Oryctolagus cuniculus: one gene and its partner. Each later gene encodes a partner of the first gene's protein in a complex. Links are inferred from orthologs where the notes say so. Each region holds a gene or a part of one and is shown on either strand. Other genes may lie near its edges. The genes, in order: RABGGTB and synaptobrevin homolog YKT6.

The links.
Region 2: the proteins of RABGGTB (region 1) and synaptobrevin homolog YKT6 are in contact, whole or in part, in a crystal structure (PDB 6J7F), measured with the Homo sapiens proteins. The link is inferred for Oryctolagus cuniculus from reciprocal best matches to the Homo sapiens genes RABGGTB and YKT6. Residues at the interface, in NP_004573.2 of Homo sapiens: Thr3, Pro4, Gln5, Lys6, Asp7, Ile9, Lys11, Tyr37, Leu45, Trp52, Leu236, Asp238, Cys240, Arg281, Gly283, Asp284, Met285, Asp287, Phe289, His290; in NP_006546.1 of Homo sapiens: Lys60, Gln62, Asp63, Leu65, Asn83, Glu84, Tyr85, Pro86, Ser87, Leu153, Asn155, Thr156, Glu158, Arg189, Lys190, Cys194, Cys195.

Annotation. Positions count from the first base shown.
Region 1 is NC_091438.1:96,203,822-96,219,948, reverse strand, and holds RABGGTB (geranylgeranyl transferase type-2 subunit beta), read left to right. Parts: upstream 1-5,754; 5' UTR 5,755-8,273; coding exon 8,274-8,276; intron 8,277-9,043; exon of another isoform or gene 9,044-9,122; intron 9,123-9,298; coding exon 9,299-9,406; intron 9,407-9,657; exon of another isoform or gene 9,658-9,741; intron 9,742-10,429; coding exon 10,430-10,627; intron 10,628-10,758; exon of another isoform or gene 10,759-10,829; intron 10,830-12,058; coding exon 12,059-12,164; intron 12,165-12,918; coding exon 12,919-12,971; intron 12,972-13,342; coding exon 13,343-13,453; intron 13,454-14,092; coding exon 14,093-14,218; intron 14,219-15,179; coding exon 15,180-15,329; intron 15,330-15,638; coding exon 15,639-15,779; 3' UTR 15,780-16,112; downstream 16,113-16,127. UniProt on the Homo sapiens protein: Catalyzes the transfer of a geranylgeranyl moiety from geranylgeranyl diphosphate to both cysteines of Rab proteins with the C-terminal sequence -XXCC, -XCXC and -CCXX, such as RAB1A, RAB3A, RAB5A and RAB7A.
Region 2 is NC_091453.1:62,998,551-63,013,418, forward strand, and holds synaptobrevin homolog YKT6, read left to right. Parts: upstream 1-6,399; 5' UTR 6,400-6,540; coding exon 6,541-7,137; 3' UTR 7,138-7,434; downstream 7,435-14,868. UniProt on the Homo sapiens protein: Vesicular soluble NSF attachment protein receptor (v-SNARE) mediating vesicle docking and fusion to a specific acceptor cellular compartment. Functions in endoplasmic reticulum to Golgi transport; as part of a SNARE complex composed of GOSR1, GOSR2 and STX5.

The DNA of each region.
Region 1 (16,127 bases):
CCTATATGGGATGCTGGCCCTGCAGGCGGAGGCTTAACCTTCTATACCACAGAGCTGGCCCCCTATAGTAATAATATTTTACCTATAAAAATTTTTTTAAAAGATTTATTTATTTTATTTGAAAGGCAGAGTTAGAAAGAGGAGAGACAGATCTTCCATCTGCTGCTTCACTCCCCAAATGGCTGTAATCAATCTCCAGAGCTGAGCCAGGATGAAGCCAGGAGCTAGAGGCTTTTTTTGGGTCCCCAACATGGGTGAGGGTGCAGGACCCCAAGCACTTGGGCCATCTTCTGCTGCTTTCCCAGGCACATTAGAAGGGAGCTGGACAGGAAGTGGAACAGCCAGGCACCCAACTGGGATGCCTGCCCGCACCACAGGCAGCAGCTTAACCTGCTAAGCCACAGGACCAGCCGCTACCAATACAAATTTAAAGTAAGAAAGGCCAAGTTAGTCTTCTTTCTTATTTACCAACTTTTCCAAGAGCATTGACAGGAAATATGGAGCACATGAAATAAAGTCAATTATTTCTGACATCCTCTTTACATAAAGTAAATAAACACATTTTTGTGATTTTTCAGAGGCCCTGCAGAAAACTTCAAAGAGAACTGTAGGTATAAAATACAAATGTTTAATTAATACAAATGTTTAAATTAAACATTGGACTGTGGGAAGGTGAAATCAAAAGAGCTGTCAGACATCACTCGATTAAGTTAATATTAAAGGTTCTTGTCCCTTTTTATTTTTTAAAGATTCATTTATTTATTTGAAAGGCACAGTAACACAGAGAGGGAGGGAGAGAGACCCAGAGATCTTCCACCCACTGGTTCAATCCCTTAATGCCCAGAACAGCTGAGACTGGTCCAGGCCAAAGCCAGGAATCAGGAACTCCATGTGGGTCTCCCACATAGGTGGCAGGGACCCAAGAACTTGATCCATCATGGCTGCATTCTACACTCCCATAAGGGATGGGGACATTGTGAGCAGCAGCCTAACCTGCTGGACCACAACCCCACCCCCACCCCCCCAGCCTGTCCCTACTTAAAGGAACAATAAATATTTTAAAATAAATAAAGTATGAAAAAAATCCAGCATAGGATAATATAAGGAACTTAAGCTATTTTTCAAATGAGGCCTTTCTTTTTCTTTCTTCCTTTGTCTCTCTCTCTCTCTCTCTCTCTCTCTCTCTCTCTCCTTTGTCTCTCTCTCTGTCTCTCTCTCTGTGTCTTTTTTAAATACTTCATGGCTAGGGTTAGATGTTTGGCCTAGCAGTTGGGATGTCTGCATTCCTTATCATAGTACTTCAGTTAGATTGCTGGCTCCAGCTTCCTGACAGTGTAGACTTTGGGAAGCAATAGTGACTGTTCAAATAGTTGCATTCCTGCCACCCATGGGAGAGACCTGGATTGTGTCCTTGGTTCACAGCTTCACTGAGCAGTTGTGGACATCTGGGGAATGAGCCAGTATGTGGGAACTTTATCTGTCTTTCCCTCTCTATCTCTCAAATAAATAAAATTTTAAAAATAACTCAGGATGACAAAGTCATCCTGTGCATTCTGTCTGGTAAGACAGAATATCTGGGCCGGCACCGCGGCTCAATAGGCTAATCTCCGCCTTGCAGCGCCGGCACACCGGGTTCTAGCCCTGGTCAGGGCGCCAGATTCTGTCCCGGTTGCCCCTCTTCCAGGCCAGCCCTCTGCTATGGCCGGGGAGTGCAGTGGAGGATGGCCCAAGTCCTTGGACCCTGCACCCCATGGGAGACCAGGAGAAGTACCTGGCTCCTGGCTTCGGATCAGCGCGATGTGCCGGCTGCAGTACACCGGCCGCAGCGGCCATTGGAGGGTGAACCAATGGCAAAAAGGAAGACCTTTCTCTCTGTCTCTCTCTCACAGACCACTCTGCCTGTCAAAAAAAAAAAAAAAAAAAAGACAGAATATCTCCACTATCTAGACAGAAGGTAAAATATTAATCTCTCACATTGTTGGTGAGGGGGTTAATGAGTAAAACAAGGAAGCAAGCTCATTAAACAGAGTTCTTTGTTATGACATAAATTAATAAATTTATTAACTTATCCTATTAAAAAGTTTGAAAACATTTCATGGACATGTAATGAGAAGTCAAGGCCTTTCTCAATCACAAATTTACAGGCACAGAGTTTCAGATATAAAACTTAAGTCACAGAGCCGGCGCCGTGGCTCAATAGGCTAATCCTCCACCTTGCGGCGCCGGCACACCGGGTTCTAGTCCCGGTTGGGGCGCCGGATTCTGTCCCGGTTGCCCCTCTTCCAGGCCAGCTCTCTGCTATGGCCAGGGAGTGCAGTGGAGGATGGCCCAGGTGCTTGGGCCCTGCACCCCATGGGAGACCAGGAAAAGCACCTGGATCCTGGCTCCTGCCATCGGATCAGTGCGGTGCGCCGGCTGCAGCGGCGGCCATTGGAGGGTGAACCAACGGCAAAGGAAGACCTTTCTCTCTCTGTCTCTCTCTCTCACTGTCCACTCTGCCTGTCAAAAATTAAAAAAAAAAAAAAACAAACAAACAAACAAACAAAAAAAACACTTAAGTCACAGGCTAAAAATATACTTAGCTGCTCAGATTTCCAAGAGCTTTTCTCCTTCTCAGTAGGTAAGAAGTTCTTAATTTATTAACACTCATAACTATATGGACCAACACATCAGATTCTCTATTATCTTCCAAGAGAAAAATTATTCCTAACACTGACAGAGATCATCAAATGGAACAAGCAGTCTCAATCACTGCTGCCACTTCAGAAATAGCATACCATATTTCATTGATTAAAAAGTGACTAATTTATGGACCATGCTTGAATCTGCAACCAAAAACAAACACAAAAATCAGTAGGGAGGGAAAATCCTACATAAATATAGTTTAAAAAAAAAAAAGTTAAAGCCCTACTATTATTTGGGGGTCACTTTGAGAGCCAAAAAAAGATGTGCCTCAACCCAAGGTGTTTTCTTTTTTAAGGATTTATTTATTTATTTGAAAGAGTTACACAGAGAAAGGCAGAGAGAGAGAGAGAGAGAGAGAGAGATCCTCCATCCATTGGCTCACTCCCCAGTTGGCTGCAATGGCTGGAGCTGTGCCAATCCGAAGCCAGGAGCCAAGAGCTTCCTCCGGTCTCCCACGTGGGTTTAGGGGTCCAAGGACTTGTGCCATCTTCTACTGCCGTCCCAGGCCATAGCAGAGAGATGGATTGGAAGCGGAGCGACTGGGTCTCGAACCGGCGCCCACATGGGATGCCAGCACTACAGGCGGCGGCTTCACCCACCATGCCACAGTGCAGGCCCCTTAAGGTGTTATTTTCAAGCAATATACTTTACCTGACTCTGTGAGTCCATTTGGGTATCTGTGACCTCAAAGCTGGTAAAGCATAACCTTCAAAATGATAAAATCATGATGCATGCAATGTAAAATGAACATACCGATTTTTAAATAACTCTAATCAAGAGGGAACCAATCTATTATTATTATCTTTTTAAAGATTTACTTATTTTGAAAATTGGAGTTACACACAGAGAGGAGAGGCAGAGAGAGAGAGGTTTTCCATCCACTGGTTCACTCCCCAAATGGCCACAACGGCTGGAGCTGCGCTGATCTAGGAGTCAGGAGCTTCTTCTGGGTCTCCCTCGCGGGTTCAGGGGCCCAAGGACTTGGACCATCTTCTACTGTTTTCCCAGGCCATAGGAGAGACCTGGATCGGAAGTGGAGCAGCCGGGTCTCAAACTGGCACCCCATGTAACTGGCGCCCATATTGGATGCTGGCACTTCAGGCCAGGGCATTAACCCACTTGTGCCATAGCGCCGGCCCCCGAACCAATCTATTATTAAAACAAACTTCTATCAACCACTTTAAACCTTAAAACTTCAAATATTTCTTTTGTAAAAAGTGGCTTTCAAGGTCTTTCTTGTAGTTCATAATTAAAGTACACAATTTTTTTAAGATGTATTTTGTTTATTTGAAAGGTGGAGTTACACAGAGGGAGGGAGGGAGGGAGGGGGAGAGAGAGAAAATCTTCTATTGGCTGGTTCACTCCCAAAATGGCCACAATGGCCAGGGCTGAGCCAGGCCAAAGCCAGGAGACAGGAACTCCCTCCAAGTCTCCCAAATAGTTGCAAGGGCCAAAGCACTTGAGCCACCCTCTGCTGCTTTCCTAGACACATTAGCAGAGGGCTGGATGAGAAGTAGAGCAGCCAGGTCTTGAACCACTGCCCATATGGGATTCCAGCACTTACCCACCATACCACAGTGCCAGCCCCCAAACACAGCTTTTTAAAAAAATGCTTCTTTAATCTCCAATTTTACATAAAAGTTTGTTTTAAATGGCTCTCTGATTCTACTCCTTGCATTTTACCTATCTAGGGTTCCTTTTATTATTGTTAACTACTTAGTTATGAAGAGTTGTAATTTCAGGACTTTAGACAAAATTTCATTTGCTTGTACTGAATTAGAACTAGGGTGGAGGGGCCTGCAGGTTAAGCTGCTACCTGCAAGGTAAGCATTCCCTAAGAAGCCAGTTTGAGTCCCAGGTATTCCACTTCTAATCCAGTTCCCTGCTAATGTGGCTGAGAAAGCAACAGAAGAACAAAATCTTAAAAATAAATATAGAGTGGTAAAGAAATCAGAGACACATAAAATATATAGAAAGAAACACAATTTTAAAAATGGAATATGAAGCACATAATATGCTTCTTCTACATTTGCTGCTTCAGAAGCGACTTATTTACTACATTAATTCTATAATGCACATTTTTTAAATACTTAATGTCTCAAAAATCTGAATAGCCATATGCTTTATGACATTAGCCAGTAAGAACTTTTTCCACATTTCCAGAATACCAGAATGTTTAGTGAAAAGCAAGCTATTCTTATTATCCTATCTCCTGACCATCTCGTCTCCTTGCAGGCAAATGCTTTTAGCAATTCAAGACATATATTTTCCTTTTGTTCCCTATGCAAATAGTAGCAATCTATACTTTTTGATAATTTTTTGTGCTTGTTTTCACTTATGATATTTTGAAGATTATTCTGTTGCATTATATTTAATTTCCTCATTTTTTTAAGATTTACTTAATTGTTTGAAATTCAGAGTTATAGAGAGGGAAAGACAGGTTCTCTCCCTAGACAGCCCCATCAGTCAGGGCTGGGTCAGGCCAAAGTCAGGAGCCAGGAGTTTCATCCAGGTCTCCCACCTGGGTGCAGGGGCCCAAGAATTTGGGTCACCTCTTGCTTTCCCAGGCCCATTAGCAGGGAACTGAATCAGAAGTGTAGCAGGCAGGACTTGAACTGGCGCCCATATGGGACGCCGGCACTATCAGAAGCAGTTTAACCTGCTGTGCCACAGTGTAGGCCCCTCTTTTCTTTTTAATGGCTGCATAATGAATTATCACAGTTTTTTTTTTTTTTTTTAAGATTTATTTATTTAAAAGGCTGAAAGGAATGACAGAAAGAGAGAGAGGTCTTTATCTGCTGGTTCACTCCCTAAATTGCCCTAACAGAGTTGGGCCAAGCTGAAGCCTAGAGCTAGGAGCTCCAAGCTGGTCTCACACATGGTTGGCATGGACTCAAGTACCTGAGCCATCATCTGCTGTTTTCCAGGGACATTAGGAGAGCTGGATTGGAATTGGAGTGCTAAGACCCAAATTGATACTCTGATATGGGATGCAGGCATCCAAGTGGCAGCTTAACCCAATGTACCACAATACCATCCCACGATAGTGGTTTTTTCTTTAACTTTTTTTTTTTTTTTTTGGAGAGACAGCGAGTTCCCATTTGTTGGTTCTCCCCTAATGCCTGCAATGGCTGAGGATGGGCTGGGGCCAGAACCACTGCTTGTCTGGGTCTGCCTTGACGGAAGCTGGGGTCTGGAGCCATGCCAGGAATTGAATCCAAGCACTCTGACATGGAAAGTGGGCATCTTACCGGCTAGGCTGAATGTTCCTACTTAAACTTCTGATGGCCAATTAAGATATTTGTAAAATTATAAAAATGACTGTTATGAATATTCTTGTACATAAGTCACTTCACACCCAAGGGAATATATTTGTTGGATTAATACATAGAAATAGAATTGCAGAATGTGATTATAAGATTGTTAGAATATATTCTGTGTGTATTTCTATTTTGGTTATCAATGTACCCCTAAAACCAAAAATATTGGCACATTCTCAGTAACCATTACATATTTGTGGAAAGCACCTAGGAAGTAGAAAGTGAAGTATATTTTTCAATCCTTCAGCCTGTATTGACTCAATGTGAATGTTACTGAATTTGAATATGAGGCTTCCATAATTCTTTTTTTTTTTTTTTACATGTATTTATTCATTTGAAAGAGTTACATAGAGAGGAGAGGCAGAGAGAAAGAAGTCTTCCAACTGCTGGTTCACTTCCCTGTTGGCCACAACGGCTGGAGCTGTGCGATCCAAAGCCAGGAGGCAGGAGATTCTTCCAGGTCTCCCACATGGGTGCAGGGGCCCAAGGACTTGGGCCATCTTCTACTGCTTTCCCAGGCCATAGAAGATCCGTGGATCAGAAGTGGAGCAGCTGGGACTAGAACCAGCGCCCATATAGGATGCTGGCACTGGAAGAGGTGGCTTTACCCTCTACGCCACAGTGCCAGCCCATCATTCTCTCAAAATCTAAGTGCACACAAAGGTTTAAAGTAAAATGTTGAAGAAAAAAAATCCCTCTTGGGGCCATTGTTGTGGCAAAGCAGCTTAAGCTGCTGCCTGCAACACAGGAGTACCAATTCCAGCCCCTGCTGCTCTGCTTGGGATCCAGCTCCATGTTAATGTGCCTGGAAGGCAGTGGAAGATAGCCCAAGTACTTGGGACACTGCCACCCATGTGGGAGACCCAAATAGGAGTTCCAGGCTCCTTTGCTTCAGCCTGGCCCAGCCTTGGGAGTTGCAGCTATTTGGGCAGCAAACCAGCAGATGGAAGATCTCTTCTTCATCCATCCTTCTCTGTCACTCTGCCTTTCAAATAAAATCTTAAAAAACAAAACAAAACAAAACAAAACCCTCTCTTAGAGATAACTATTAATCAAAAGAAAGCTAGGGAAATTACTATTTAAAAAAGTAGATTATAATAAAGCAGATCTTAAAAAATAAATTGCCATTATTGGGGCTGGAGATTTATCTTCACTTAATGATTAAAGGCTTGAGGTGGATGTGTGGTCCAACAGTTAAGAAGTTGCTTGCGATGCCCCTATTCCATATTTGAGTGCCTGGGTTCAAGAGTCCCAACTCTGCTACCAATTCCACCTTCCTGGTAACCCACAGCCTGAAAGACAGCTGGTAATCCCTTCTGCCACCCATGTGGGACACCTGGACTGATTCCCAGTTCTGGGCTTCAGCCTGGTCTATTCTGGGTTATAGCAGACAATTTGGGGAAGTGAACAAGCAGATGGTATATCTGTCTCCCTGTTTCTGCATTTCAAATAAAAATAAAATTTTTAAAAAATATTTTTTAAAATGATGAAAGGCTCAACTCACCAAAACTAGATAACAATTCTGAACTCACATCCATTTAGTATAGTAGCCCTGGGGCTATAAATGCAAAATCAACATAATTACAGCGAGAAAGAATGTAACCTACCACCGCTGCGCCCTGGACTTGGCCCCTCAATTACGGAGAGCCCACTTGTCAGTATGTGAGCAACCCCTTTCCAAACTTACCATTGTTAGGGGACACGGTGCCCATATTTTGTAATGGGTACTCTAAGTGTAAAGAATTCACAAATGAAAATAGCTGTAACTCACCTAGCAAATTAAATTTTGTGGAAAACTCCTAACCAGGTATGTGGGTTTGTGTGTTTTTCTAAGTAATTCCGGGGCGGGTCCTGGAATGGTTAAGGCAAACAGGAATGGAACTTGAACAATTTATTAACATGTATTCAAAATAAATTCACCAAACACTTTCCATGTGCAAGCAGGCATTCCAGTAACAGTCCTTTCAGATATTCAAATCACAAACGACCCCAAGAACAAATAATTTCTTAAACGCAACTCACATTGCGTTTCAGACATTGGTGTAAACTCGGTAGCCGCAAACCAGCGCCGCGACCTTTCCTAACAGGCGGCGAGGACAGCTACGAACATCCGGTGGGGTCCTAGGACACGGAGTGGCTGCGTCCTTCAGGCAGGACTGTGGCCAGCTATGTCAGGTGGCGGAGGGGGCCTTAGGAGCGCATCTGCGCAGGCGCACGCCGTTTAAGTCTCCCGGGACAGCGGACTTTTCTTTCTTTTCGCTCCTAGACATGGTGAGTGATGGGTCTCAGCTTTTTGGTACTGTGTGGTTGGGTCGTAAGGAGACAGAGTGAGGTAGCGTAGAGCCCTGTAGTTACGATGTGGTTGTCCACCGAGTGTTGCAGGATGGTTGATTTAAGACTCTGGCCTTTGAAGTTTTCTGGAAGACTTGGGCTGAAGTGTTACTCAGCATTGCTGCAGACCTCGCGGGCACAGTCGCCGCTTCTAATTTTGTCCAGGCTTCCGCCTGTCTCGCAGGCCTCACTAGATTAAGCGACCTGATTTCATAATTACTTTAAAAGCCAGAACTGCTTGTTGGCTTTTTGTCCTTAACGAATACGTGTTATTTATAAATTTATTTTTTAGGATTCCCGAAATAGTTAAGATTCGTAGTGTGGTCTCGCTTGGAGACCTCCATCTTTAAATGGAATCAGGGAATTCGCTACATAATCACTTTGAGGAATCGTCGTGACCTACTTAGAGTAACTCCATTGCGGAGTTAGGAAGAGGTAGACGAGAACTAGAGCAGTGTCCTCATTACCTGGGGACTGGTTGGAAACCCAGACACTGCGATTGAGGGTGGAGAAGATGGAGTTGGAAAGACTCCTTCCTTGAAAATTTGAGTAATTTTGGTGGTGTGGAAGGTTCTTCGAAAACCTGAATTAGGTTCAGCAGGAATTGAAATTTGCGACATGTTTTTGATAACCTATGGTGTTTGTTTTATTTAGCTCTTAAAAGTGAATGGTAAGCAGCAACAAATGCAAGTGGTCCTTTTTTTTCAGGTCAATGATGAGCTGGCATGTATTCTGAATTTAAAGTTGATTATTACTACTTTAGCTCTAGAATTACTCTGAGACCTGAAAAATACCTGACCCTTGACTGAATGAGAACTATAATGCTTTACATTCTTTTTGGTCACTCACGTGCAATTGAATTTTCCTGTGACAGGATGAAATGAAAGTAAAAAAGTAGATTGAATGTACACTTTGAGAACAAAGTAAACATTGATAAGGTAACTCTTGTTTTGTTTTGCAAGGGTACACCTCAGAAGGATGTTGTTATCAAACCAGATGCTCCCAACTCCCTATTATTGGAGAAACACGCTGATTATATTGCATCCTATGGCTCAAAGAAAGATGATTACGTATGTATGATTTTATGTGGGAAAGTTTTTAAAGAGGTCTGTTAGGCACAAGCAGTAGGGCAGTGTTTTATGTCCTGTTTGTTAAAATTGTATACAACTGAAGATGTGCCCTCCAGATTAAGTGCATCGTGGATATGTGAGATTGGGGAGGTATATCAGAACCAAAATGGTACTTAGCAACGCCAGACAAAGTGGGTTAGGATTTTGAGGCATGATACAGGTTTCTGTTGTAGTTTGGGTGAAGCTTTTAAGGTCAATGATGTGTTGGCATGTATTACCTGAATTTAATGCTGATGTGTAATAACACTTTAGCTCTAGAATTACGCTGAGACCTTGAAAAAGTTTTACCTGAATATTTTTGAAAAAGAAAAGCAGTATCCCTTGGGACAATCTTAGGAAAATGAACAGATAGAGCTGGGAGTGGGTATTTTTTTTTCCTTAATGTATCTGATCAGCTAGATTACCTGGATTGTGGAGGACATCTGGTGTTGAAGTTTTGACTTAACATACTCTATACTCTGTAAATGCTGAATTTGGATTGGTAGCAAATTTAAGTTTTAGACTTCTCAAGTATAATCCATTGATAACTGAAACAGAAATTTGTTTCTAGAATCTTCATTTTCATCTGTGCATGCTATGATTTCCATGCTTAGGTAATTTCAAGTTTCAACTGGTTAATGTCATTACAAAATGCATAATAGGTGTGGTGCAAAGTCCATATATTAAAAGAATGAATACTTACCTGAACACTATGAGAAAATAAGCAGATGAATTTTCTAATTTACCTTACTTTTGGTTGGTGCTTGGGCAGAGCTAAACTCTTAGTGATATTAACCACATGAATTTTTTTATCATGCTTCACAAGTGATTGTTTTTTCTAATTAATGTTAAATTTATTGCTAACTAGTGATACTGTTATGATCACATGAAGTAATCAGTGATATGCCTATGAATTTGCTTTATGCATTTCACCACTTAAATCATCAATTCAAACTGACAAAGTTAAAAAATTATGTATTTTAGGAATACTGTATGTCCGAGTACTTGAGGATGAGTGGCATCTATTGGGGTCTGACAGTAATGGATCTCATGGGACAACTTCATCGCATGAATAGAGAAGAAATTCTGACATTTATTAAGTCATGCCAACATGAGTGTGGTGGAATAAGTGCAAGTATTGGACATGACCCTCACCTTTTGTATACTCTTAGTGCTGTCCAGGTAAATAACTTAAAAGTTTCAATTGCTTAATAGTAAATGCTCTTAAATGAAAGCCAGGAGTTGAAACTTTATCAGGAAGATGAAAAACTGATACTGTAAAGTTCCATGTACAAGTGGAGTCTGTCCTACAAGGTCAATGATGGAATGGCATGTATTAGCTGAATCACCATTGATGTGAATTATAAAATTACACTGAGACCTTGGAGGATTAAAAATTCTGTGCTTAATATATGTAAGCATTTGAAAGATATTTAAGTGGAGTTTTTAGATTTATTTATTGATTGGAAAAGGAAAGAAATTATCTGCTGGTCCACTCCCCAAATGGCCATAATGACCAGATCTGGGCATGTCCAGAGCCATGAGCTTCTCCCACATGGGTGCATGGGCCCAGGCACTTAGGCCATCCCCTGCTGCTTTCCCAGGTGTGTTAGGAGGGAGCTGGATCAGAAGTGGAACAACCAGGACAGGAACTAGCACCCAAAAGTGCCACATCACCAGCCCTGTTTTTTTTTTCCTTAAGTTGGAATGACAGGTCTTCATTCTGCTGAAGGCCAATACAAATGGTCACAATAGTAAGGGCTGGGCCCAGCGCCCAGGAAAAACGCCATCCAGGTCTGTGTTGGAGGCAGAGTAGCTGAAACTTGACCTAGCACTCCTAGGTAGGGTGCATGCAAACAAAGTGGCAGGTTAGTTCATTGCCTCAATACTTAATGCCAACCCATATGACTTAAAGACTCATTGAAAAAAAATTTCTATTTATTTTGAATTGTTTATTTGAAGGAGAGAGACCTACCTTTCATCTGCTGCTTATTCCTCAGATGGCCAGGGCTGGACCAGGCCAAAGCCAGGAGCCTGGAGTTTATATGGGTCTCCCACATTGTTGGCAGATTCCCAAGGACTCTCTGCCTTCCCAGGTGCTCTGATACAGGAGGCACAGCTTAGCTCAATGCACCACAACAACTTAAAATACTATTTTGGGGGGGGGCATTGTTGTACCATAGTAGCTAAAGCCTCCAGCTGCAATGCCAGCATGCCATATAGGTGTTGGTTTGAGTCTTGGCTGCTCCACTTCCTGTCAACCTCCCTGCTAATGCACTTGATAAAGCAGCAAAATACAGCCCCAAGAACTTGGGCCCCTGTACCACATGGGAAACCAGAAAGAAGCTCTTGGCCTCCGGCTGGCCCAACTATTTCTGTATGTAAATAAGTACTTTTACATACAGTATATTTGAGTATTTTGGGATGCTGCATTGTAGTTTATACGTGGAAAAATAATTGCTTTTTGGTTAGTGTCTCAATTTTGTTGACTAACAAGATTGTATATTGGGGGAAAGTTTTCGGTATACACTCAGACATGCTTTATAACTTCAAAGATAGTTGAGGAGAGGGCATCAGAACAGAGGGCATTAACTTAATGTTTCTTTGTTGCAGATTCTTACTCTGTATGATAGTATTAATGTTATTGACGTGAATAAAGTTGTGGAATATGTCCAAAGTCTACAGAAAGAAGATGGTTCATTTGCTGGAGACATTTGGGGTAATGTCATATTTAGTCCATGCTTCCCAAATACCAATATTAAAATGTCCTCACTTCGCTTAGAGCCAGTTTGTAGATTTTTTTTTAAGTATTTCATTTTTTCAGGTCCCACGAAGCAGCTGGTCTAATTGGAATTAATGGTCTGCTGGAAGTTCCAGCATGCACTGTGGTAGTTATAACAGCATACAGGAGCACTGGAACAGAGGGGGCCAGTCTAAAAGATAAGGTAGGTGAAATTTTTTTCCCCCAATATTTGGTGGTTTTGTAAAGTTTTTAAAAAGTACTTGCTGGAAAGGGAAAAATACTTCTAAAAAAACTTTACAAACTTACTGAATATTTGTGTGGAGGGAGGGAATAGGATTTTTATTTGATAAATGTAGATAATCTGTGTTTTAGGGCTAAACACAGTGCAGGCCAGAAAGACCAGCTGCTTCATGGGATGTGAAAATCTACTTTTTATTAAATAAGGGTAAGTTTTATTTTTTTTTTTTGAAATTAGCTAGTTTTTTTTCAGATGTTTCCTTCCCTTTCTGGACCCCCATAAACAACATTGATAATTTGCTGTTATTTTTGACAGAGTAGTTTTTTAGTTATTAGACTTAGAACTTCAGATTTAAGCAGTTCTGACTACCTGATGTTAAGCTTGAACTCTTGGAAATTCAAGCTAGTAGGTGTACAGATTTTGTTTTTAGGTAACTTGTACTATATCAGAAGGAAGTCTGATAATGGTTTGATTGATTCCTTTTTGTTTTAGGAGAAATTGATACAAGATTCTCTTTCTGTGCGGTGGCAACGTTAGCTCTGTTGGTAAGCTTTGAAAATACTTAAGGTTTGTTTATTTGGAAGGCAGAGTGACACACAGAGGTTCACTCCCAATTGTCCACAAGAGCCAGGGACTGGGCTAGGTCAGAGCCATGCATGGTCTTCCATTCGGTGGCAGGGATCCCAAATACATGAGCCATCACTGCTGGGTGTACTTCACAGAAAGCTGGATTGGAAATAATAACTGAGAATCCTCTATTCACACACTTTGACTTGGGATATGAACAGATGGGTGGCCATCCCAAGTGTGGCCCAGCCTGCTGCACCACAGTGCTTGCCCCAAGCTTTGAATATTGAAATGATGAAGCATCCATGAGGACTTTTGAAATTTAACAGGCATATTTCTTTGTTTATAGGGGAAGCTTGATGCAATTGATGTGGAAAAAGCCATCGAATTTGTTTTATCTTGCATGAACTTTGATGGTGGGTTTGGTTGCAGACCGGGTTCTGAATCTCATGCTGGGCAGGTAACTTAATTCAGATTAAATTTTAGTATCAATTTTGAAGGATTTACCATTGTGATGACAGGGAAATGTGTTAAGTGTAATATCATTGGGGTGTAACATTGGATGTTAAGAATTACGGAAAGCTTTTCCACAATATTTTGCATTATGTACCATTCTGTTAGTAGATCTCTCTGGCCCAAGCAGTTGAACCGAAATATATTCAATTTTTAACTATGCAGTTGAAAACATTTCTACCTACCATGAGCCAAACGGGCAGCTCATTGCTTGTGCCAGAGTACTTTTTGTGGTTGCTCCCTTATGCATGACTTTGCATTCCACAATTGTAATACCTGTGGTCAACTTAAGACTAAGTTTTTCATTGGTCTGAGTAGTATAAAATCTCCCATCATATGTAGCATCCCTTTGTGCAGTATACTTACACTATACTTAACCTTATCTGTAGGTCTCATAAGAGACATGCCATGACATGTATTTTAGTAGTATACTTGGATTTTTGCAATTATTTAAAATTAGAAATGTTGAATCATCAGATCAGAAGGCAAAAGTGATAAAAATGTTTTAATAATTTGAATAGTTGGATTTTGTCATTATTTTACTGTCACATTATTATACACATGTACTTTATGTCTGTAATTTTAGATCTATTGTTGCACAGGATTCCTGGCTATTACTAGTCAGCTGCATCAAGTAAATTCTGATTTACTTGGTTGGTGGCTTTGTGAACGACAGTTGCCTTCAGGTGGACTTAATGGAAGACCAGAGAAGGTATTATTTCATAAGCTTGAATCAATGCCACTTCGTAGTAATGAGGAAGTCCTTGTCCTTCCTCCTATTGTGACTTTTCAACTTATCATTTCTTCCATTATAATATCTCAAAAAGCCTGCCAGTGGCAAAAGTAGAATCCAAAAGATTGAAACGCTTCTGCTCTTGGATACACTTAGTGTGCCCCTGAATCATGCGTAAGAAATTTGGGGAGCCAGGCTTTAGATCTAAGATATTAAGGCAAATTGGTGCCTAGTTGGAAAGCATTGGAAAATGTTGTATGTAGATTATTGTAACATTCTCAGGGATTTCTTTTTTTTTTAATTTTTTGATGACTTTTATAAAGATTTATTTGAGAGGCAGAGGGAGCAAGTCTTCCATCTGCAGAGTTGCAGGGAGGGAGGGAGGGAGGCCTTCTGTCTGGTTCACTCCCCAGCTTGCCACAACAGCTGGAGCTGAGCCCATCCAAAGCCAGGAGCTTCTTCCTGGTCTCCCACGGGGGTGCAGGGGCCCAAGGACTTTGGCCATCTTCCCACTGCTCTCTCAGACCATGGGAGAGTGGATCAGAAGTGGAGAGTCCCAGCACCCAATGGGAATCTGGCTCTGCAGGTGGTGGCTTTACCTACTGCAGCCCCCTCAAGAGATTTCATGAACCTCTCATCAGCTTCTTGGTTAATGGGCTGAGTTAGGAATTTATTGATGCAGTTAGAAATGTAGATATATACTTGTCACGGAGCCCTGAAACATTTAGAATGGGTACTTATAAATTGGAGTTAGTTTTCTCTTTCCCACTGGTTATCTTTTAATTATAAGCAAACATTGCAAACATATTTTAATGTTTTTTGTTACTTCTCACCGTTTGAATATCAGATTGCTTAGATGAGACTTCACTTTAAATTGTTACTAATGACTTAAGAACAGAATTAATACTAGTAGTTATTTGTTGCTTTCCCCTACTCCTAGTTACCAGATGTGTGCTATTCATGGTGGGTGTTGGCTTCTCTAAAGATTATCGGAAGACTTCATTGGATTGATAGAGAGAAACTGCGGAGTTTCATCTTAGCATGTCAAGATGAAGAAACGGGGGGATTTGCAGACAGGCCAGGAGATATGGCAAGTATATTTCTAATGTTTATATATCTTTTTAGTGTTGCATTACTTTCATTGATGTAGGCATTTCCAGGCATGTAACGTCAAAGCAGTGTACTTTACTGAATAGTGTCAGAAAAAATCTCCTTGCCTATTAAACAAGTTAGTAAATATTATATGATAAAGGTCATATTTTGAAGCAGGTTTAAGTTTATTTCTGAAAATGTTAAAGCCTGTACACAAAGTGGAATTGGCTGCAGTATAAATAAAATATTTTGAAGCAAGGTTTTGGGGGAGACCATTCATTTTGTAATCTGTGAATTTTTGTTTTAGGTGGATCCTTTTCATACATTATTTGGAATTGCTGGATTGTCCCTTCTGGGAGAAGAACAGATAAAACCTGTTAATCCTGTTTTTTGCATGCCTGAAGAAGTGCTTCGCAGGGTGAATGTTCAGCCTGAATTAGTGAGCTAGTTGGCTGATGGAAAAGCTGTTTAGTGTAGCTGCCATTCCAACATTGACTACTGTTAATATTTTGTATATTGTGTTAAATTAATTTTAATAAATTATGTAATTATACATACTGTAAAATAGATTTTGCATTGTATGTTCAGCTTTAGGTTTTGTTAATGCTGTTACTCTAAGTACAGTTTTTTGTTTTTGCTTCAGTGTATCATCTCCATGTCATTGTTTATTCCCTTTTTGTTTTGTAGAACAACAGCTGTAAATTGGTTTGTGTCTGCAAGAATTTTAAATGACAGATAAACCCATATATAAATAAAAATATGCACAGGGGTGTTGTTGAGATTCCTGCATCTTATA
Region 2 (14,868 bases), on another chromosome or scaffold:
TCTCATTAAAGGAAATGATAAATAAAATACAAGTAAAATAGAGTACATGCAACTTCTACATTCTAGTCTATTCTGAAAATTGCTCTAATAAATTTCAGGTTCAAGACCCTATTACCACTCTACTGGGTTTATTAAAAATGCATTTCTAACAAAATGAATAAATAAAAATGAATATTTTACTGTCTTTTTATCAGCAGCCACCTTCTTCTCTATATTCCAATGGTTGATGTACAAGTAAGCATAAATATAAATACTAAATTGCAGCTGAGAAAACCTGAGCCACTGAAGTCACAGCTTAAATAGGACTATTTAAACCATACTGCATAGAACATGGTAACATTTCCAAAATGTGTCACTACTACTAGAACCTTTGATAGATAAAGTAAGTACTGGCCTGAAATTCATGTTAATTTATATTTTTGTACTATCAAGATGGTTTGGAGTGTTTTAGTAATTTAAGAAATTTTGCTCTGGGAAAATTTCTTAAATTCTAGGTCCTCTGGAAAGCTCCACTTGAGCAACTTAAATCCAGTTTACCCCTAAACAAATGCAGTGTCTTACACTTAAAATCTATCCATTTGCTCATATGCGGTTCCTGGGCATGAGTCCATCATCTATCCAGTACTCCAAAAGAGAAGACAGGCTTTGCCCATCAACACAAGCGCCAATTCCTTCCATGTAGCCATTTATCAAATCCCCACAACTCTCCCACATGCAGCCCACGTTAGCTTTTTGCCATCTTCTTCACCAATCCATGCTACCATAATACACTTCTCTGTGCCTTGTTATTTTATATCTCTGGGATTTACCTGTGCTTCTCTTCCTGTGTCAAAAACATCCTTCTTTGAATAACTAGCCCTTAGTGTTTCCCACTTGATTCATTTCAGCCAATACTTCCTCTGAGAAGTCTTCCCTGAAAACTCTAATGATCATAATCTGTGTTATCAGTAGGTTTATTTTTAAACAGATTATTTATTTTTTACTTTATTTGAAAGAGGAGAGAGAGAGCAAGAGCGAGAGAGAGAGAATCTCCCATCCACCAGGAAGCTGAAGATACAAGTTGGAACCAGGAATTGAACCTGGGTATTCCAATGTGGAATATGAGCATCTTAACTACAGGCTAATTGCCCACTCCCATTCCTCAGAAATCTGAAAATAGATCTACCATATGACCCAGCCATCCCACTCCTGGGAATGTACCCCAATGAAATCAGCATATGAAAAACTTACCTGTATCCCCATGTTTATTCTCAATAAATAATTCTCAGTAGTTCAATTCACAAGAGCTAAAATATGAAATCAACCCAGATGTCATCAACTGATGACTGAATAAAGAAATTGTGGTATATATACATGATGGAATACTACTCAGCTGTAAAAAAAAGAATGAAATCCTGTCTTTTTCAACAAAATGGATGCAATTGAAAACCATTATGCTTAGTGAATAAGCCAGTCCTAAAAAGACAAATATTGTATGTTTTCTCTGATATGTGGCAGTTAGTATAGAATATAAAAATGTATAAGAATTAAATGAATATCTTGTGATATGATTATTGTTTTTAGCCCTTGACTATACTTTTGTGGAACTGTGGGCTTCCTGCTTTTTACTTGTTGAATATTATGGCTAGTGGTGAATTAAAAAATAAATAAGAGGTACTGTGTGTGAACTACTGAACACAATTTGATCCATAGTATATTAATAAATATTTAATTTAAGTTTTATAAAATAAAAAATTCTAAATCAACATCAGTATAAAACTGTTACTCTTGAGGCTGGTGTTGTGGAACAATAGGTTAAGCCACTGTTTGCAACACCAGCAATCCATATCAGAGTGCTGGTTTGAATCTTGACTATTCTGCTTCTAATCCAGCTCCTTGCTAATGCTCCTGAGAAGGCAGTGGAAAATGGCCCAAGTGCTTGGTTCACAGCCACCCATTGTTGCTCCCCTTCTTCGTGGAGGAACGACACAGGACCCTGCCTAGGCTTCATATCCGAGTCACGGCACCATTATGTTGCTCCCCCTCTTCGCGGAGGAAGGACACTAGACCCTGCCTAGGTTTCCTATCCGAGTCACGGCACCATTATGTCGCTCCCCGTCTTCGTGGAGGAACGACACAGGACCCTGCGCTGTTCTTTTGTCTGCTCAGCCCTCCTTGGGTTTGCTGCTGGTTCTTCCCGGGTTGGCTACCGTCCCTTCCACCTCCGTGGAAGGGCGGTTCCCCCTGCCACTTTCCCCACTTCCGCGGGGGAACGGCACACCGCTGGCTGGCTCTCTCAGGGGCTGCTCAGATGTTCCTTCAGATAGATGTTCCTGGTGCATGTTGCTCTCTCCTCCTTTATAGTCCTCTTCCACCAATCCCAACTCTGCTACCCACACGCCGAGTACGCTGCTCTCCTCCAATCAGGAGCAGGTCCTGCTGTTTATTGGTTGAACTGGAGGCAGCTGTGTAGAAGCTGTTTCCTCCCTTCTCAGCGCCATATTGTGGGAGAGCAGATGCATAGAATAAGTCTTAATTCCAGTAACTTAGTCTAGTCCAAGTTGCTCCCAGTTGCTCCCCACAACCCATGGACGCTGATGGAGTTCCAGGCTCTTGACTTTGACATGGCCTAGCCCCAGCCATTGTGGCCACATGGGGAGTGAACCAATGGATGGAAGATCTTTCTCTCCCTCTCTCCCTCTCTCTTTCTCTTTCTCTCTCTCTCTATCCTTCCTCCCTCCCTCTCTTCCCATCTCTCTGCTTTTCATAAATAAATCTCAGAAATAAAATCCTACTCCTTAATGTCCTAAAACATGCCTTCATAATCTCTTAAATAGTACCTCTAGGTTTTGAATTTACTCAAGTAAACGTTCTGTCTTTCACCATCACTCTTCCCTTCATCTGTGCTCCAATCATATTTACTACTTGCAGTTCCTGAAGGCACCATGCTCTCTTAGATTTATGGGGATTTTCACATGCTGCTCCCTATGACTAAAATATTCTTAATTTCTCTATATATCTGGGTTAGATATCCATCTTCTGAGTTTCAGTAGTAATGCTTACATTCTATTTTCTCCAGCTGTCCATAGAAGACTGTGAAGGGATTACTTTTATTTAACTACATTTCTAGGGACTAGCATGGTAATTGAGACATTCCATGTGATCAACAAGAGTCAGAGGTAGTTGACTGAATGCATTTAAAATAATCATCAGATATTTTCTTTCTTTTTAAGGATTTATTTTATTTATTTATTTGAAAGCCAGAGTTACACAGAGAGAGAAGAGGCAGAGAGAAAGAGAGAGGGCTTCTATCCACTGTTTCACTTCCAAGATGCTGCAATGGCCGGAACTTCGCAGATCCAAAGCCAGGAGCCAGGAGCTTCCTCTGGGTCTCCCACACGGGTTCAGGGGCCCAAGGACTTGGACCATCTTCTACTGCTTTCCCAGGCCATAACAGAGAGCTGGATCAGAAGTGGAGCATCTGGGACTCGAACCAGAGCCCATATGGGATGCTGGCACTGTAGACAGCAGCTTTACCCACTACACCAAAGCGCCAGCCCAGTTTTTTTTCAATGTATAGCAATTTAGAAGTAGCAACACACAAGTAAATATCTGGTACATTAATTATAATAAATATTTCCTAAAGGCAAATTTCTTGATTACCTGAATTTTGTGACACTATTATTCCAGTTATAGGAATGGTATGCCTTTGAAATTTGTAAATGCCTTATGTAAAAACAAATACTTCAGAATTTTCTGCTGTTCCAAATTAGAGAAGTCTTGTGGGGAGCAACTGGGAGCAACTTGGACTAGACTAAGTTACTGGAATTAAGACTTATTCTATGCATCTGCTCTCCCACAATATGGCGCTGAGAAGGGAGGAAACAGCTTCTACACAGCTGCCTCCAGTTCAACCAATAAACAGCAGGACCTGCTCCTGATTGGAGGAGAGCAGCGTACTCGGCGTGTGGGTAGCAGAGTTGGGATTGGTGGAAGAGGACTATAAAGGAGGAGAGAGACAACATGCACCAGGAACATCTATCTGAAGGAACACCTGTGCAGCCCCCGAGAGAGCCGGCCGGCGGTGTGCCGTTCCCCCGCGGAAGTGGGGAATGTGGCAGGGGGAACCACCCTTCCACGGAGGTGGAGGGACGGTAGCCAACCCGGGAAGAACCAGCAGCAAACCCGGGGAGGGCTGAGCAGACAAAAGAACAGCGCAGGGTCCTGTGTCGTTCCTCCACGAAGACGGGGAGCGACATAATGGTGCCATGACTCGGATATGAAGCCTAGGCAGGGTTTAGTGTCGTTCCTCCACGAAGAGGGGGAGCGACATAATGGTGCCGTGACTTGGATAGGAAGCCTAGGCAGGGTTTAGTGTCGTTCCTCCACGAAGAGGGGGAGCGACATAATGGTGCCGTGACTCGGATATGAAGCCTAGGCAGGGTCCTGTGTTGTTCCTCCGCGAAGAGGGGGAGCGACAAGTCTGAAAAGCTACCATCTTTTATTTTAATGTTTTTTTTGAGTGAAGAATGGATTACATAGTATGTCTATCCAAACAGCATAAACATTCTACACTGAGGATGTATCTATAACAAATATAATTTAATTTATCTATTAGCAAAATTTATGTATTATTTCAAATAATATTTAAAATTTATATATTATTCCAAATAATACCCAAAAGCATGTGCAGAGGCTTCCAGAGAAGGGTGACCATAAAGTAAATTTCCCGAGTTCTTTACTGAGAGAGAACTCATTGGGTTCCAGTAGTTACCACTGATTCTTCATCTACTTTAGTCTCTTTAATGCAACACTCCACATCTTTATCTCAGATAGAACCCCCTATTACTCAAGAACCTAATAAAAACTCCTAACTCCAGTGAGGAAATGTTTGGTTTTCTGCTCTGAATACTGAATGAGATCATTATACTTATATTGACTTGTATTGATACAGAGATAAGCTCAAAGTTAACTAATAGTAACTAAGCCATAAGGCCCAGAGCACACAGGATGAGAAGAAATAGGTCATGTAGGGAATGATCAGCAGAGAAGACAGGATGACAAGCAGGAAATTATCTAAAACAATAACAACAGGAGATGAGTCATGCAAACAGTCCATATTGTTGGCACGTAGTAGTTAATTGCTCCTTTCAGAAGTCTGAGAAGAATTTGAAACTGTACAAATCACTAGTACCAGAAAACTATCAGTATCTTGCTATCCATTACTCTCCCAAAATTCTAAAACTATTGTAATTCAAACTTGTAGTATTGTACATTTCATTTCAGATTCTTTTCGTATAATTTATAGGAGGAATAATTCTTTGCACTTTTCATGTTCATAGAACCATCTTTCTCTTTTTAGTGTGTAGTGTCAGTTATCTAAATGTTGATGAAACAGTAATTGATAAATTTCAGTTATATGAAATTTTATTTAGACATATTTCTTTGTAATTCTGGGATTCGATAAATAGAGTATGTTGTGTATAAAGTAACTTAATATAGGCAAGGTTAATCAGGTCATAATAAAGCAATCCTTTATTGATGGAAGATCTAATTTTGTTAGGTTTAACTTTATGATAGTATATAACTTTAACCTCAAAAGAAAAAAAATTAATTGGGTTTCCCTAACATCTTTGAAAATATGAATTTAACCAAGACTTTCTAATACATAATATCTTTCTTATTCCTTGAAGGAAGTTACATTATCTAAAAAAGGCTTGTTCATTGCAACAAGTGTTTCAGTTAAAAACACTTTTCTTAATTACATATTTTGATGTCCAGTTATGAGACTCTGAGTTGCGCCGATCCGAGGCCAGGAGCCGGGAGCTTCTTCCAGGTCTCCCACATGGGTGCAGGGGCCCAAGGACTTGGGCCATCTTCTACTGCTTTCCCAGGCCATAGCAGAGAGCTGGATCAGAAGAGGAGTAGCCAGGACTAGAACTGGTGCCCATAAGAGATGCCGGCGCTTCAGGCCAGGGCATTAACCCACTGTGCCATAGCGCTGGCCCCACCCATAAACTTTTAATTCCATTTTCCAACAAATGTTTTGAAGTACTCTCATGTTTAAGAAAAGTAGGAATCTGGCTAAGAACACTGATCATCGCAGCAATTTAATCTGTGCTATTCCTATCAGTCCCTTGCCAGATGTGGGGTACTTTTGAATGCCAAGACAAAGTAACACCAGCAGTCTAGAAGCAATTGACGGGAGCAAAATAGGGTTGGAGCTCAATTCCCAAAGAATTGTCATTATTTGAAATGACTTCTGGGTCTTTCAAATCTTATATAATTTCACTTATATGGTTGTCTATATGTGACCTGACTCAGCTTGTCCAGTGTGAACAACCTTTTCACCAGAAGAATCTGTCCAAGATAATCAGAGACAATGGTAGGAAACAGATGCTGGATAAAAGTTGTGGCAAGGAAGCTCCGGCGGCTTGGTCAGCAGCTGGGCGCGGGGAGGCCGGGAGGCCGGCGGGCGGCGGTGGGGAGCCCCGGAGGCGGCCGCGCTGCTCCCTGCGAGCCGGCCCCGCGGCCAGGCGGGGGGCGCCGGGGCGCGGCGCCATGAAGCTGTACAGCCTCAGCGTCCTCTACAAAGGCGAGGCCAAGGTGGTGCTGCTCAAAGCCGCGTACGACGTGTCCTCCTTCAGCTTCTTCCAGAGGGCCAGCGTCCAGGAGTTCATGACCTTCACAAGTCAGCTGATTGTGGAGCGCTCGGCCAAAGGCAGCAGAGCTTCCGTCAAAGAGCAAGAGTACCTGTGCCATGTCTATGTCCGGAATGACAGTCTCGCGGGTGTGGTCATTGCTGACAGTGAGTACCCGTCCCGGGTCGCCTTCACCCTGCTAGAGAAGGTACTGGACGAGTTCTCCAAGCAGGTCGACAGGATAGAGTGGCCGGTGGGGTCCCCTGCCACAATACAGTACACGGCACTGGACGGTCACCTCAGCAGATACCAGAACCCTCGAGAAGCAGACCCCATGACTAAGGTACAAGCGGAACTAGACGAGACCAAAATCATTCTGCACAACACCATGGAGTCTCTGTTAGAGCGAGGGGAGAAGCTGGATGACCTGGTGTCCAAGTCGGAAGTGCTGGGAACACAGTCTAAGGCCTTCTACAAGACTGCCCGGAAGCAGAACTCCTGCTGTGCAATCATGTGACGCAGCATGCGCGGCCGCGCTGGGCCGTCACCGTCATCACATCAGGACCGCAGCCCGGACGGGAGAGGCCCCAGGTGGGGCAACCTGGCCATTTTTATTCTGGAATTTCTGGAAGGACCCACGGGGTGGTGGAGGGGTGGGGACGTTCGCATTCGTATGTCTGGTGATTTTTCGAAAGAATCTGAGGCCCCTGACGGTGTATTTTTGGGCAAATGAAACCATAAACTGAGTGGCTCCTGTGGGTACTGAAGGGCTGATCCCAGCCACCCCGGAAGTGCAGAGCCAGCTCTTGTTTGATCCTGGTATGTCTGGGTTTTATTTGTGCATTAACGATACTAACTCTCCAGGAAGCGGGGTGGGGGTGGGAGCCTCCCGTGACAGGGCCGGTGGGCAGTCAGCACCTGGGGAAGCTGCCGCAGGAGAGGGCGGCCCAGCGCCGGGCCTGGAGCCTGGCAGCGGGCCAGCACTCGGGCCCAAGGACGCGGGGCATCGCCTGCGCTGTTCACCTGCCTGTGCCAGGGCCGCCCAGCTGACACTTGATGCAGATACGCTCTTGGGGGTGTGAGTCGTGTCCCGGCGTCCCGGCGTCCTGGCGCGTGGGGTGTGTTCCGCTGGAAGACCCGCACAGGTGATTCGCTGGCCCGAGGCGGGCGCGCTGCCTTGGCTCGGAGTTTGACTTGAACACCCAGGTGGAAGCAGCAGGTGCCGCCGTCTCGGAACGCAGGACTGCGGGTGCCTGAGCACATGGGCCCTTCCGTGGGCCCAGCAGTTGGAGTGCTCCCATCACCCGCCTGTGGTCAGGGGCAGGCTTGGTCCAAGCTGGCCCCTGCCCCCGAGGAGGCCACTGTGACCGCGGAAACCAGGTGCCCTCGTGCCAGTGCCACATTCCAAGCCGCCTCGTCATGCCCCACTGCGCTCAGCCTGCACCCCTGGGGTTCAGTCCCCTCGTCGCTGGACAGTGTCATCTGCGAGTTTTGAGCCAGTGTGGCCACATCCTCCTGAGCCTACCACACTGCTCTGGCAGCTCCCACTGTCCCCACGGGAGGGCCTGGTGGCCCTGACTCCCTGACGGGGTGAGAGTGCACAGTGGGGGGGGCCTTATTCTTGTTCTGAGGGCTCCCTGGCTGTTCTACCTGCAGCTGCCTTTTGTCTCCGGCCCCTGGGCTTGCCCAAGGGCTCCAGCTTACCTGCCATGGCCTGCTCAGGTCACTTCCCACTGCTGCAGAACCCCCAGCCGGGGCCCTCTGGGAGGTGCAGACCCAGCCCACACACTGGGGCCTCAGGTGGAGGGGGGGGACCCGGATCTTGCAGGAGGAGGAGTGCTGGGGCATCACCTCTGCACGTCTGCAGAGGATGCTGGGAGATACGGGGTGGAGGTGTGAACTTGGAGGAAGAGGGAGACCTTTGTCCACAGCCCCTGGCCCAGCAGGGCAGCGGGGGCAGGTGGGTCTGACTCTGGCCCTGTCTTTGATGGGCACCCGCCCCATGCTTCCCTGCTCCCTGCTGTATTCGGAAGTCAAATCATTGGTGAGAGTGTATTTTAATAACTGCTGCCTCACTTCTCTGTGTTCTGTTTGAGAAACTCCCGTTGGGATAAAATTGTCTTCTGAAAAAAAAAAAAAAAAGTTGTGGCAAAATATTGGCCAAATAAAATCACTGAAATTAAAAGCTGAGGGTGAGCATTTGGCAAAGCAGTTAAACAGCTTGAGACACCTGTATTGCATATCATAGTGTCTGGGACTGAGTGCCAGCTTTGCTCTTGATTCCAGCTTCTTGCTAATGTGCACCCTGTGAGGCAGTGGGTGATGACTCAAGTAGTTGGGTCCCTTCCACCCCCAAAGAAGACTTGGACTGAGTTCTGGGCTACCGGATTCAGCCTGGCTCAGGCTTCACTGTTGTGGGCATATGGGGAATGAATCAGCAAATGGTTGATCTTGGTCTGTCTCTCTGTCTGTTGTCTCTCTCTGCCATTCAAATAAACAAAAATAAATATAAACTTTAGAAAATGAAAAGCTGACAAATGAATGGTACTTAACTGGTTCTGAAAAGCTGAGCTGGGCATATTCCTATAAATCTGAAATATCTTGCATGTTTCTATGACATGCATACAGTCAAGAGAGACCTCCTGAATAGGTACTAAGCCTAACATTGGCAAATTCTGAGGCTTTGAGCTAGCAGGAAGTAAAAGCTGAGATAGAGTAGTAAAGTGCTTGACTAAGTTTTCGAAGAACACAGAATCCCTCAGCAAAGACTGGGAGATTTACCGGTTACAGGTGTTTAGGAAAAGCTTTTTTCAATCTTTAGGTGACCATTAAGCCAAAAGAAGAAATACTTTGTGGCTATGCAGGACAAAGAATACAAATTTTGTGAAATAAATTGAGATAAATAATATAAATAAATAAAAATAAACAATTTAATAATAAATATAAATGATAAAAATAAAATAAATTGATATAAAAAAAAATCTGGAAACAACCAACCCTGAGTTGGAGTGTGTGTGTGTGTGTGTGTGCGCGCGCGTGTCTGTATGTGTGTTTGGGGGAAGAGTAGAATGTGATTTCTAGAGTTGCCACAATATATTTTAGATAAAATGCCCAGTTTTAAATTGTATACACACACAACCATACACATAGTGGAAAGACACACAAAAAAATCCACAATCCATACACATGGGAAAAATGCAAATACAAATTGTCCTGAGGAATCAAGCATTAGACTTACTAGGCAAACCTTCTAAATCAAGTACTTCAAACATGTTCAAAAACTAAAAGGAAGCATGAGAAAAATATGTCAACAAAGAAAGAATATTTACAGGCACAGAATTTTTCAAAGGAAACAAAAAGAAACTTTTGAGTAAAAACATATCAGTAATTGAAATAAAAACATTACCAGAGATTTCCAGTTTCAGGGCTGGCATGTAACAAGCTTAGAATCACCATTCTGACCTAATAGGTTAAAAAAAAAAAAAACCAGAACAAGAGAATAATTATAACAAATCATCCCAGATCTCTCAGATAAGTGGCACAATGGAGCAAATGGCTACCTCAAACACTGAAGAAACTGACAGCAAATACAAAGAGTCTTTCTTCAATATTTTTCACTGAAATAAACTTATCTTTTAATTCCATTTGTCAGCAAATTTTTAAAGTTTCCTGGGCCGGCGCCACGGCTCACTTGGCTAATCTTATGCCTGCAGCACCGGCACCCTGGTTCTAGTCCCGGTTGGGGCGCCGGATTCTGTCCTGGTGCTCCTCTTCCAGTCCAGCTCTCTGCTGTGGCCCGGGAGGGCAGTGGAGGATAGCCCAAGTCCTTGGGCCCTGCACCCCATGGGAGACCAGGAGGCTCCTGGCTTCGGATTGGTGCAGTGCACCAGCTGTAGCGGCCATTTGCGGGGGTGAACCAACGGAAAGCAAGACCTTTCTCTCTCTCTCTCTCTCTCTCTCTCTCTCTCTCTCTCACTGTCTAAATCTGCCTGTCAAAAAAAAAATTTCCCTGGAAAGAGAAGAAATCCACAAGCAAGGACTTCCATGGGAACACTAGTATTAGGGCAAGAATGCTAACTAGTAACGAAAAAGCCTATAAAGCTACAAAATTCCATGATAAAAATAAACAGCTAAATTCAGAATACTCTAACAGTGATTTTAGTGACAAAATAACATCTTTAACATGAAATTTGAAAAACTTATTAAAATAATAGCTACAACAATTTCTTAAGGGATATTCAACATAAAATGATATAAATCATGGCAACAAACGAGAAAATTTGGGGTACCAATGCAGTAAAATACTGGATTTTTAAGAATGCAACTGAAGTTGTCAGCTTAAAATAGCCTGCTTTAACTGTAAGATGTTTTATGTAAGCCTCATGGTAACTAAAAAGCAAAGCAGTTAAGTAGATAAACGAAAGGCAGGATCAACACATCATACTGAAGAAATTCATCTAATCACAATGGAATTCAGCAAGAGAGGAAATAAAGAACAAAGGTTCCATGATACAGCCAGAGAACAATTAACAAACCAGCTATAGTAAGTTGCCACCTATCAAAAATCACCTCGAATGGACATGAATTAAATTCTCCAATCAAAAAGCCATACAATGGTTAAATGAATTAAAATATAAACAAGGACCAACTGTGTACTGCCTAGCAGACACTATTCACCTTTAAGAACACATATATATATATTTTTTTTCAAGCTAAACACACTTTATTGTTACTCTAGGCGACTAGGAGGAGAGATCGCTCAAGCCTACTCTTGCGGGCACTAGGCACTATGGACCAGGAGCTTCTCCCCGCCGGCACTAGGCACTACAGACTGGGGAGAGGGAGGCTGAGCAACCTCTGGTTTACAGCGGCTGAGGGTACCTTTATATACAGTTTCTAGAGGCTAGCCCCGCCCACATTCTGACCCCCCCAGGGTCCCGTCGTCATGGCAACGACAGTTTGTGGTTAGGCCGCCCTTTTTCAAATCTTTGTTTATTTATTTATTTATTTAATGAGCATAAATTTCCAAAGTACAGCTTATGGATTACAATAGCTTCCTCCCCCCCATAACTTCCCTCCCACCCACAATGCTCCCCTCTCCCACTCCCTCTCCCTTTCCCCTTCACATCAAGATTCACTTTCAATTATCTTTATATACAGAAGATCAATTTAGCTTATATTAAGTAAAGATTTCCACATTTTGCTCCCACACAGAAACGCAAAGTGTAAAATACTATTTGAGTACTAGTTATAGCATTAATTAAACACCTAAGAGTAATTGTGTATTAATTACAGAGTTCAACCAACAGTTTTAAGTAGAATATAAAATGCAACTTTTGTATTGTTGTGGCTCCCCGCCCCAACCTCCCTCCCTCCCGTGGCCCTCCCCTCACCCACTCCCTCTCCCATCCCGCCCTTCATCACGTTTCATTTTCAATTACCTTCATATACTGAAGATCAACTTAGTATATACTAAGTAGGGATTTCAACAGGCTGCACTCACACAACCGAACCAGGTATAGGGTATTGTTCGACTAGTAAGTAGTGTTGTTTTTGAGTTTCATAGTTAAACACATTAAGGACAGAGATCCTGCGTGGGGAGCATGAACCCAGTGACTCCCGTTGTTGATTTAACAATTGGCACTCTTATTTATGATGTCAGCAATCACCCGAGACTCTTTCTATGAGCTGTCTAGGCTATGGAAGCCCCTTGAGTTCACCAACTCTGAACTTGTTTAGTCAAGGCCATATCACAGTGGAGGTTCCTTCCTCCCTTCAGAGAAAGGCGCCTCTCTCCTTGATGGCCTGATCCTTCTGCTTGGGTCTTGTTCACCAGGATCTTTCATTTAGATTGTTTTTGGCCACCGTGTCATGGCTTTCCATGCCTGTGAGACTCTCATGGACCTTTTAGTCAGATCCGAATGTCCCAAGGGTTGATTCTGAGGCAGGAGTGCTGTTTTGGGCATTTGCCATTCTATGAGTCTGCTGTGTGTCCTGCTTCCCCCGCAGGATCATTCTCTCCCTTTTGATTCTATCTTTCATTATTTGCTTACACTGGTCTTATTTGTGTAATCTCTTTGACACTTACCCTATCTTTTTGATCGGTTGTGTATTTATACTTATCACTTTACCAAGTATGCTGGCATTGGTACCTGCCTCCTTGGTAAGGTTGAGTTGAAATCCCCTGGCACGTTTCTAGTTCCACCATTGGAGGTAGGTCTGAGTGAGTATGTGCCATCCTCTATATCTCCTCCCTCTCTTATTCCCACTCCCATGTTCCACAGAGATCAATTTTCTGTTAATTTTTAAACGCTTAAGAATGGTTGTGCATTGATTGCAGAGTTCAACCAGTGGTCTTGAGAACACACATATATTGAAAGTAAAAGGATGGGAAAAGACAATCCATGCAAACAGAAAATGAAAAGAAGTAAGAGAACCTATATTGATGTAAGAAAAAATAGACTTTCAGTCAAAAACTGTAAATGAGGCAAAGAAGACAATTATATAATGCTAAAGGTGTCGATTCACCTAAAAGTTATAACAATTATAAATATAAGTACACCAGTCACGGAGAACATAAATATATAAAATAAATAGTAATAGATGTTAAGAAAATGATACACTGCAATAAAATAACAAGCTCCAATACTCCACTCTCCAAAATGGGCAGATTACACAGACAAAAAAAGGAAACATTGAACTTGAACTACATTATAGCATGGTGGGGAAACTTTTTCTCCTAAGGACCATTTGGATATTTATAACAACTTTTGCAGGCTATACAAAATTATCAACTTAAAATTAACCTGCTATAGACTTTTAGAATTTTGAGTCCTGCCTGTGGTTACCGTGGTAGGGACAGACCAAATGATTTCACAGGCCTTATGCAGCCTGCCAGCTGAACATTCCTCGTCCCTATTAGATCAAATGAATCTGACAAACATATATAAAATATTTCATCCAATAACAGTAGAATATACATTCTTTTCAGATGCACATACAAAATTCCTCAGGATAGATCATATAATTGGCCACAGAACAAATCTTAATAAATTTAAGAAGATTAAAAGCATATCAAGTATCTTGTCCATCCACCATCATATAAATCTAGAAATAAACAATAGGAGGTATTTTATTTAAAAGTTAATAACAAATGTCTGAATTACCAGCAGGTGAAAGTTGAAAGGGAAATTTTAAAATGCCCTAAGATAAATGAAAATGACAACATAACATACCAAAACTTATTGGATGTAACAGAAAGCACAAAATAAATGAGCTATCAATGCATCACAAGGACCTGAAAAAACAACAAACCAAACCCAAAATTAGTAGGAGGAAAAAAATAATTAGAATTAGAGAAGCAATAAACAAAATTGAAACAAGAATACAAAAATCAGTGAAATGAAGAGCTGGCTTTTTGAAAAAAAAAAAAAAGCAAAATTGACATGCCATTGGCCCAACTAACCAAAAAGAGAGAGAGAAGACCCATATAAATAGAATCAAAGATGATAAAGGAAATTTAACAACAGAGACCACAGATATAAAAAGAATCTTCAGGAATTACTACAAAGAACTGTATGCCAACACAGGGGGAAACCTAGAAGAAATGGATAGATTCCTGGACACATGCAATCTACCAAAATTGAGTCATGAAGACACAGAAAACTTAAACAGATCAATAACCAAGACAGAGATTGAATTAGTAATAAAGACCAACTAGCTTTACTGCTGAATTCTACAACATGTTTAAAAAAAGAATTAATTCAATTTTTCTCCTGTTATTTAAATAACTGAAAGGTATAGAGTTCTCCCAAACTCCTTCTATGAAGCCACATAACCTTAATTTTTAAACCTGAAAAAGATAAAACAGAGAGAGAGAACTACCGACCAATATCACTGAAGAACATAGGTGCAAAAATCCTCAACAAAATGCTAGCTAATTGAATCCAACAACGCATCAGAATGTGCTATATTGCATTAACAAACTTAAGAATAAAAATCATATGATTATTTCAATAGATGTTGAGAGAGCCTTTGCTAAAATAAAACATCCTTTCATGATGAAAACTTCATGGAAATTGGGTATTGAAGGAACATTCCTCAACACAATCAAGGCAATTTATGACAAACCAACAGCCAGCATCTTATTGTAAAGGGGAAAGGTTGGAAACATTCCTATTAAGATAAGGAATCAAACACAGATGACTGAACCATGAAAAAAAAAGAGAAATCTGTTTAGATCAAGTAT